2 linked regions of the Lepisosteus oculatus genome follow. The protein of the gene in region 2 interacts with the protein of the main gene of each other region in a pairwise test. Links are inferred from orthologs where the notes say so. Each region holds a gene or a part of one and is shown on either strand. Other genes may lie near its edges.

The links.
Region 1: the proteins of kifap3a (region 2) and ncf2 interact in binary tests that used the Homo sapiens proteins (3 or more experiments, as listed by UniProt). The two-hybrid records come from large-scale screens. The link is inferred for Lepisosteus oculatus from reciprocal best matches to the Homo sapiens genes KIFAP3 and NCF2.

The regions. Positions count from the first base shown.
Region 1 is NC_090704.1:7,838,271-7,842,199, forward strand, and holds the start of ncf2 (neutrophil cytosol factor 2), read right to left. Parts: upstream 2,409-3,929; 5' UTR 2,228-2,408; coding exon 2,054-2,227; intron 1,291-2,053; coding exon 1,208-1,290; intron 964-1,207; exon of another isoform or gene 836-963; intron 834-835; coding exon 725-833; intron 66-724; coding exon 1-65. Other genes in the region: nmrA-like family domain-containing protein 1, read left to right, coding at 3,769-3,929. UniProt on the Homo sapiens protein: Subunit of the phagocyte NADPH oxidase complex that mediates the transfer of electrons from cytosolic NADPH to O2 to produce the superoxide anion (O2(-)).
Region 2 is NC_090704.1:8,064,282-8,068,210, forward strand, and holds the start of kifap3a (kinesin-associated protein 3a), read left to right. Parts: upstream 1-1,306; 5' UTR 1,307-1,672; coding exon 1,673-1,704; intron 1,705-2,746; coding exon 2,747-2,878; intron 2,879-3,929. UniProt on the Homo sapiens protein: Involved in tethering the chromosomes to the spindle pole and in chromosome movement. Binds to the tail domain of the KIF3A/KIF3B heterodimer to form a heterotrimeric KIF3 complex and may regulate the membrane binding of this complex.

The sequences.
Region 1 (3,929 bases), about 230 kb from region 2:
AGATTCTCCTCTGCCTTTTCCCATTGTCCTAACTGTGCATGGGCCAGGGCTACATTGTGAAGGACCTGCGCAGAAAACAGGGGAGCTTCTGAGTTTGGGATTCACAGAGAGAAGCCTCACATCTGACAACTGCAGAACATCTCACCTAAACTCTTACAGCCTGTATCTGAGGTGGTATTTACAATATACAGATCTTTTACCTACACATTAAAGTAAGTCACTCTGGGACTGATAGATAAGAAGCTATTGTGTGAGTAATAGTTCTGGTGAAAAATCTGTGCTTAGAAAGCACAGGGTGCTTCTAAAGTTAGTTGGCCTTTTCACGCAAGTATCATGAAGGATATGAAGTTTGATTGCAATGGAAGCACAATCACAGTTTGAACCTCAGGACCTTTCATTGCTTCACTGTGACTAACACGACTGTCTCTTGTGTCCATGGACATGGTGCACAAGGTGTCTGGTGAACACAGTCAATGTCCTTGAGAGCATAAGACACTGCTGCTATTCTTAGGATTTCTTCCTTCTATTGCTCCCTGTATGTATTGTGAATCAGGCGTTGGTGTATCGAGTACTGATGAGGAAACATGTGACCAGTGAACGATGTGTGATATTCAGACTCAGTTCCAGGTGTGACAGTGACTCCGTTTCCTCTTTTTTGGTCCACAAAATACAATGCAAAATAGAAAATGAAGAAAAAAAAACCTTTACCACACTGAACTCTTACCTCACAGCCATACAGCTTAAATCTGAGGCCAAGCAGCTTGTAGTCAATCAGCTGATTTCCACGTAGCTCTGTGAAGGCTTTTTTAAAATCACTTAAAGATTCTTCAAACCTAACTCGGGGAGGTCATAGGGAAACAAATGATGCAGTCAAAGAGAAAGACATTTGTTTGCAAACTCATAAGGGAAACTTAAAAAAACATCTCCTAAATCTGCAATTATAACCGATTGTGACGATACAATGTAAGAAAGATTTTTGTTTCTATGGTTCTCATTTCTTTATAATTCCAGCACTTAAAACAAGTCTGCATCTTGTATCACAAGTGTCTTCAATAACTATTAGTTTTTCTAGGTATTTGTGATGGTATTTCTAACAAGAGACAGTCTAGAGGATTGTTTTTATAAACTAGGTTTTATAATGCATATTATATGTAATGTAAATGTGAGGAATTTTTTAAAGGAAAGCATCAACACCAGGCAGACTTACTTTTGCTGTTTGTAAAATGTTATCCCCCTTTGAAAAAAGGCTACAGCCAAGTGTTCATCCTTCCTGATGCTGTTGTCAAAAGCCTAAGGAAAAACAGGAGAATTCGGAAATAAGATAAAAGCTTCCAAATTAAAACAAACTGTGATTTCTGAGGAAATTCTCCCTGAATAATTCAAACTGTTTTGTTCTAATATCAGAAAAAAAACAGAGGTGTGTCTGAATATTAATGAAACGTACACTGTTTCTCAACTAGAATATTTTTTTAAAAATCAGAAAAGTCTCTGGTTTGTATTTCAAATATTTGAAATATTACTTAAGAATATTGCTGTTGGTTGTTTAGATTTACAGACCACAGCTTGTATGATACTAGTTTTAAGGAAATCTTTCAAGCACAGATGTGCAATAAATATATGAAATATTGTTTTAGAATTGTGATTCTTTCCACTGATAAATTGCAACAAGTAGTTATCGAGTGAGACTGCTGTTTTCTGCCCTGCAGGTTTACTTCCCCATTTTGAATGACTTGCATTTCAGCAACGACTGAAAGAAAAATGCGTTTGCAGAAGTATAGATTGTGCTTTTCATTCGTGATGGCAATACTGTTTATAACACATATTTTGTGAATTTCCGTGGGAGACCGATTTTGATACGTAAGGGATAATAAAAAATGAAAAACTAAACTGAATTGAGTGGAGACAGAATATGGGTACAAAATTATCTCTCTGTTTCGTGCAAAAACAGTACGTACACAGCCACTGGCAAGTAAACCTCTTATTGCCAGCAGCCTCAAGGTAGATTCCTGCCTTCTGCACTATCGAAAAGAAAAAGCGTACAGCGTATGCTCACCTTCTCTGCTGCATCCAGGTCTTTAGTAATCAAATAAAGGATGCCAATGTTGAAGTATATTTTGGAGTTTTTGTCCACGATATCAGAGAAGACTTTCAGAGCTGTAGCCCAATCCTTTCTGCCCACTGCGGCCGCTCCTTCATCCCACTGTCGGATGGTGTCCAACAGCGACATGGTGTCCGGGCTGTGATAAAAGCTCTTGTCCTCAGCAGGTCAGTGGCAGAGTCCTAATAACGGACAACAACAGCGGGAGCACATCCTCTTGCAGGGGCTGTGAGGCAAGAGTTCCAGGAAATGTTTCTACACTCGGGGCATACGCGCGGAGGAAAACCATTAGAGACCAGCAGACTCGTACCGCCTACCGCACTTTCCGTTCTCAAATTCGTGCAAATTCAGACAAACAGTGATGTGCTCTTCGTTGCACATGTGCAAAACGTTCCTGAGCTTTTGTTTCATTTCACCTGTTACACACCCCGTGTAACTGGAAGGACGTTTTAATCTCTCATCAGTTTTGCGTGTGGCAGCTAAAAAATAAAGGCTTTAAAGTAACCATTTTCCATTTGAACCTTTTTTTTTTTAATAATTCTTTGGGTAGTATAGATTGCACCTGTCCCCACAAAGCTACCATATTAATGTGATCCAGGGAGATTATGGTCAGATACTTTGTTTCCTGTTTTGACCAAAGAGAAATCTTGTAGCTAACCATAAATGTCTAGGTGTTAGGCTAAAAGCTCTGACTTGACATGCTCTCTCACAGTTGCATTAGGACCTGTCCTCATTTTGATCATCATCAAGCACAAGTCAAATCCTGAGATTGACAATGCCTTAATGCACGTTATTGCCTTAATGCACGGAACTGTGCACGGAACTGTAGTACTGTGGCATCAGATTCCAAGGAGAAAAAGTATGGAATTCCTGCAGTTCCCCAGCCAGTTTCACAGCCACACAGCCATTGTGTTAGATGTAGCACCAGATTTCTTGCTGCCTGTTGCTAAGGGAGAAATACTGGCCCCATTTAGGGTTTCCATAGAATCACTGTGGAAACACAAGGGTAAGCCATAAACTGTACAGGAAACCTCCCAGACTGACAAAACAAACAGAGAACAACGGGTATGTGGCAAAACTAAAAAAAAACAAATACAGTATCAGTAATGCAAATCTTTGTATTGCTTTAGTGTATGCTCTCCATTTGTTGAATGATTATATCTGGTTATTTATGAAAATATTAACAGATAAGGGAGGCAGACAATCTTTTTTCTTGTAATGGTAATGGACAATAAATATTGACTCAGACTGCTCAGTAAAAAAGTAGGCTTGTATCGGTAAATGTACAATTAACTTCTTCACTATTGTTTTAATTATTGTTTCCTAGTTAAAAAAGTATTTTCTGGTCTCATTCACTGTAAACACTGTGTCTTTATTACCAGCAGTACCTACATTGTCCTATTTTACAAAGTAAGTCTTTGTCATGTTTTCTTTACCAACTAATGATAGTAATGAAGGTGTTTAAGTTTTCTTAATATTGTTTTTAGCTGTTTCACCTTACAGTAGTTCCAAAAATCTATGAAACGTTTTGTCTTTGTATGTATATGTACACCACCATGAGAATTTAAAACTAAAAAGTCCAAATGAGGTTAAGTGTACTGTACCTTTTGTCTTCTGCAGCAGGAAATTTAAACACAGCTACTCCCTTTATTTTCTTCCTTTCTGAGGCAATGGAAACGGTTGTGGTTCTTGGTGCAGATAAGGACCTGGGGCAGAGTGTCGTCCATGCCCTGCTCCAGGATGGCTCTTTCGCAGTGAGAGCAGCAGTCCAGGACACAGGGAGCCCTCTGGCCCAGCAGCTGCAGCAGGCTGGCTCTCAGATAGTCGCAGT
Region 2 (3,929 bases):
GTGAAATGTTGTGACACATACTTGGTTTTGTTGCCTTATTTTCAAACATGCTCTCTTCTTTCAAAGGTTATGTACCATTTTCTCAATTCACCACGTTTCTGATTTAGCCAGTGCTTGTGTCTTTGTTGGTACTCCCTGAATTTAGTTATGAAAAATGTTTTTAAAACAGTTTTAGCTTGAATGATAAGAATTTCATAATGGATGTCTTAACAATGTTATAATAATTTCCACAAATGACTTTTATCAAACTTCTCTATTAAATACATACAGTAGTTATTGAGGTAATACCACTAAACTGAATTTCCCACTAAAAATTGAAAGATGTTTTACAACAGGTTATCCTAGGAAGTAGAAGAACACTTTGTAACCTTTTCTTTAAAATATTTGTAGAGAAGAAGGCTTGCGAACCAGGGGCAGGCCATTCACCCGTCTTTTTTACAATTTAATCGTGCAGTAAGTAAATAAACTAAAATTTAATGCAGACGTTTTTCTTGTGTATACTGCATCTGTAAAACCTCAGCCTCCCCCCCCATAACCTAGTTATGAAGCCAAGTTGAGTACTGAGTACAAACGTAGGAAAGTAAACGTTAAAAGCAAACCAAAAATCTAAAACTGAAAAAAGCATTTCAACCTAAATACCCCACAGCCTGACAAAACAGAAGTTAACAGATCAATAAAACTTACAACTATCACACAGTCTAGTATTCAGTGGATATCGTTTTCAGATGGTATGTTAGTTAATGTTTTCACAACAATTATGTAGCTATTACAAATAATGTCAAGTTCAAAGGAAAGACATGAACATTGGGTACTATATATTTCACTAACTCGTTAATTAGTATCCTGAAAGATCTGTGCTACTCACACAAGGGGGAAAAAAGTTAATTTCACCATATGATAAAAGTTTTAGGAATGTACTGTATCTCATTTCTTTTAAATACAGAATCGTTTTCTGCTTGTAAATGCCATCCTGCCAACCGCATTTCGATGTCAACTGCTTAAATATATCAGAATAGTACTATTTATAATGCATTTTAAAACGAAACTGGTAGAAAATTACTGCTTTTCCACATTTATAAATAAAAAGTAATACTTGTCATCGATCGTGATGCCAGAAAAACACGTGTACATTTTTTAAACCAACGGACAGTGTTAACTACAGTGTTAACTAGTTACCCCTTAAACCGCCCTCGCTGGTGATTTGTCACTTTGAAGTCAAAATGATGGTTATAGTGACGTTATGTCAAAAGCGATTACTTCAACAGAAAGGCATAGAAGAGAAAATTGGGGGGTTCCGAAATGCTTTAACAAATTCAGTAATTACGCTGTACGAAAATAAGAGGAAAGGCCTTGGTTGGACTTGTTTGTTTATGACTGGTATCGGTATCTGTAAGAGCTATCGATTTCAGCACTGCTGAAATGTTTTTGTCATCCCGGCCATTAGGAGGCGCAAGAACAAATCATTCCGGCAGAAACAGCTGAGCTCCGACCCTCTCTATCTGCACTGTTGCTACATTGCATGCTGGGATGAGTAGTGGCTTACCCTGGCAACGGAAACAGCCGGTTGCACATCATTACTGTATCATAAAATATAGAATACTGTACAGTGAGATCGTTGAATTCATAGAAACAAACATTGCAAATCGTCGAATTTAGAAAAATTGAAAACACGATGCAAACGGAAGACGCACGGTATTTAAAAAGGTAAGATGCAATTCTGCAGGGGCTGTCAGCAAAATAAGCAAGCAAAAATAAACGCTTTTTATTGCGACTGTGTAAGATGGGATAGCTTCATGTCATCTCTTTTTATCAGAAAATGCGCTATAAACTGATACGTGCCCATCGAATATGTATTAAATGCCATTTGCTGGAAAATATTGCAGTTCTGTGTTTGAATCATTTGCCAAGACGAATCCCTGCTATTCATTGTATGTGCTCGTTTGGGTGTGGGCCGTCAGTGTTTTTAGTGTAATTTCTTCTTCAGTTAAAAAAGGAACCTAGATTATTTTCACATAACTGAGGTCATCACGTTATCGTTTGATTCTGCTCCATATTGTGCTGGGAGCAGAACGTGTTTATATTCCAGCACAATAGGAAACAAACATAATATTAAAATAAACATGTTGTTGTCCTCCGGTGCTTTCTAAAGCACCAGTTCAAACCCCATTGTCTCTTTGAGGGACAAGTGTCACTCAACGTCTGGCTAAGCAGCATGTTATTATCATAATCACAATACGTATGATTAAAAAAAAAGAGTTGTAAGCACAGACAATTGACGTTTGCGAGAGAATTATGTCTTGATTTGTTTATACCTTATATCCAAGTTTATATCTTAGAAGACCATACAAATGAGGAAACAATATCATGCATGACTGCTTGCTGTTAATTCAGCTGCCATGATAGCAAATGAGCCAGACAGGAGAAAGTAGAATATCTATGAAATACCTCCAATTTATTTTTCATGTTTTTTTTTTTGTGTACATGATTGAATACCACTTGGTAAATGCTGATATTAAATATGAATTTCACAGTATCTGGTTGCTTTAAAAGACATAACCCCAAACAGTGGTCCTTGTAAAATCGCTATGTAATATATTAGGTAAGTCCTTAGCATCTATTTCCCTTTTTGCTTCCATTGCAGTAGTTAAAGAAGCCGTTGTTTTAATATTTCCCTGAAGCTTAGTGGCGAGCCTGGCCCTTGCATGCATTTCAGTCGTTTTGTGTGTGCCTTTTTCCTCCCCTACAGAAAAGTAAAGGGAGGAAACATTGATGTCCATCCAACTGAGAAAGCCCTTATTGTCCAGTATGAGGTGGAAGCTACTATTTTGGGTGAGATGGGAGACCCCATGCTAGGAGAACGGAAAGAGTGCCAGAAAATGTAAGAAGTGGTGATGTTTTAAATAGGTATATTCTGTAGAGTTGGTGTGCAGCCTAGCTTTCTTAAAATTACATTGGTTCGCATTTTAATGTTCATATTTTATTTCCTTTTTACATTTTTAGAAGTGGCAGTATATATATAAACCTGTTGGAATGGATTTATTGTAAAATAAATCTCCATGGACAGACACTGAAATATTTAAGAATTGCTGTGGATTTGATAGGTGCCAATAAATATATTTCTCTTGGTTTAAGTCCTTGTACGGGGCTTGAAGTTCGCTAAGGCTTACTTGCCACTTTCCCACTAAAACTGAGTTCTCTCAGGAATGTTATTTCTGAATCACCCCTTTTAAATGTTTGAGACTGACAGTTATCACCTAAATTGGACTCAGACCAGGTCAAATGCTTTTTCTTTTTTAGCTTTGGTTCAGATCCATCATCAACGACAATCCATGTTATGACAATCTGAATTGAATTATGTGGATACTTTTCTATTCTGCACTGAAAAAAGAATAAGTAAAATATTTTTAAAACAGGTTTTATTACAATAAATATAATAAAATATTGGATATGTAATAGTAAAGTCTACTGTCTGTATGTACTGATCAATACAAGCTTCAAATAATTTTTTAATCATTATTTTATACAGGCTTCTGTAGAGACAATGCCTTAGTGCTCTTTAGCAATAAATGATTGAGGAGTCTCTGATCAAGTCAATTATGACAAACATGATTTGCGCAATGCTGTTAAGTTTACAGTATAACATTTTACCTGTTTACTTTTAATTGCGACAGCCAGCTGACACACATGATATAAAGTTCTTTTTGCCTTACCTGATCTGCATATAGATTTGATTAAAAAAAAAAACATTGTGAGGAATTCTATTATATTTTGACTGTTAACTATCATTAATGATGGATAGATGTGTGGAAAATAAAACTAGTGGTAGCACAAGAAATGTAAACACTTGCTTGTTAATTTTCATGGGTAAACATCTGATCAGAGATACAGTGCAGAAACAATGTGGAACTGAGCGAAAGAAACTACAAAGT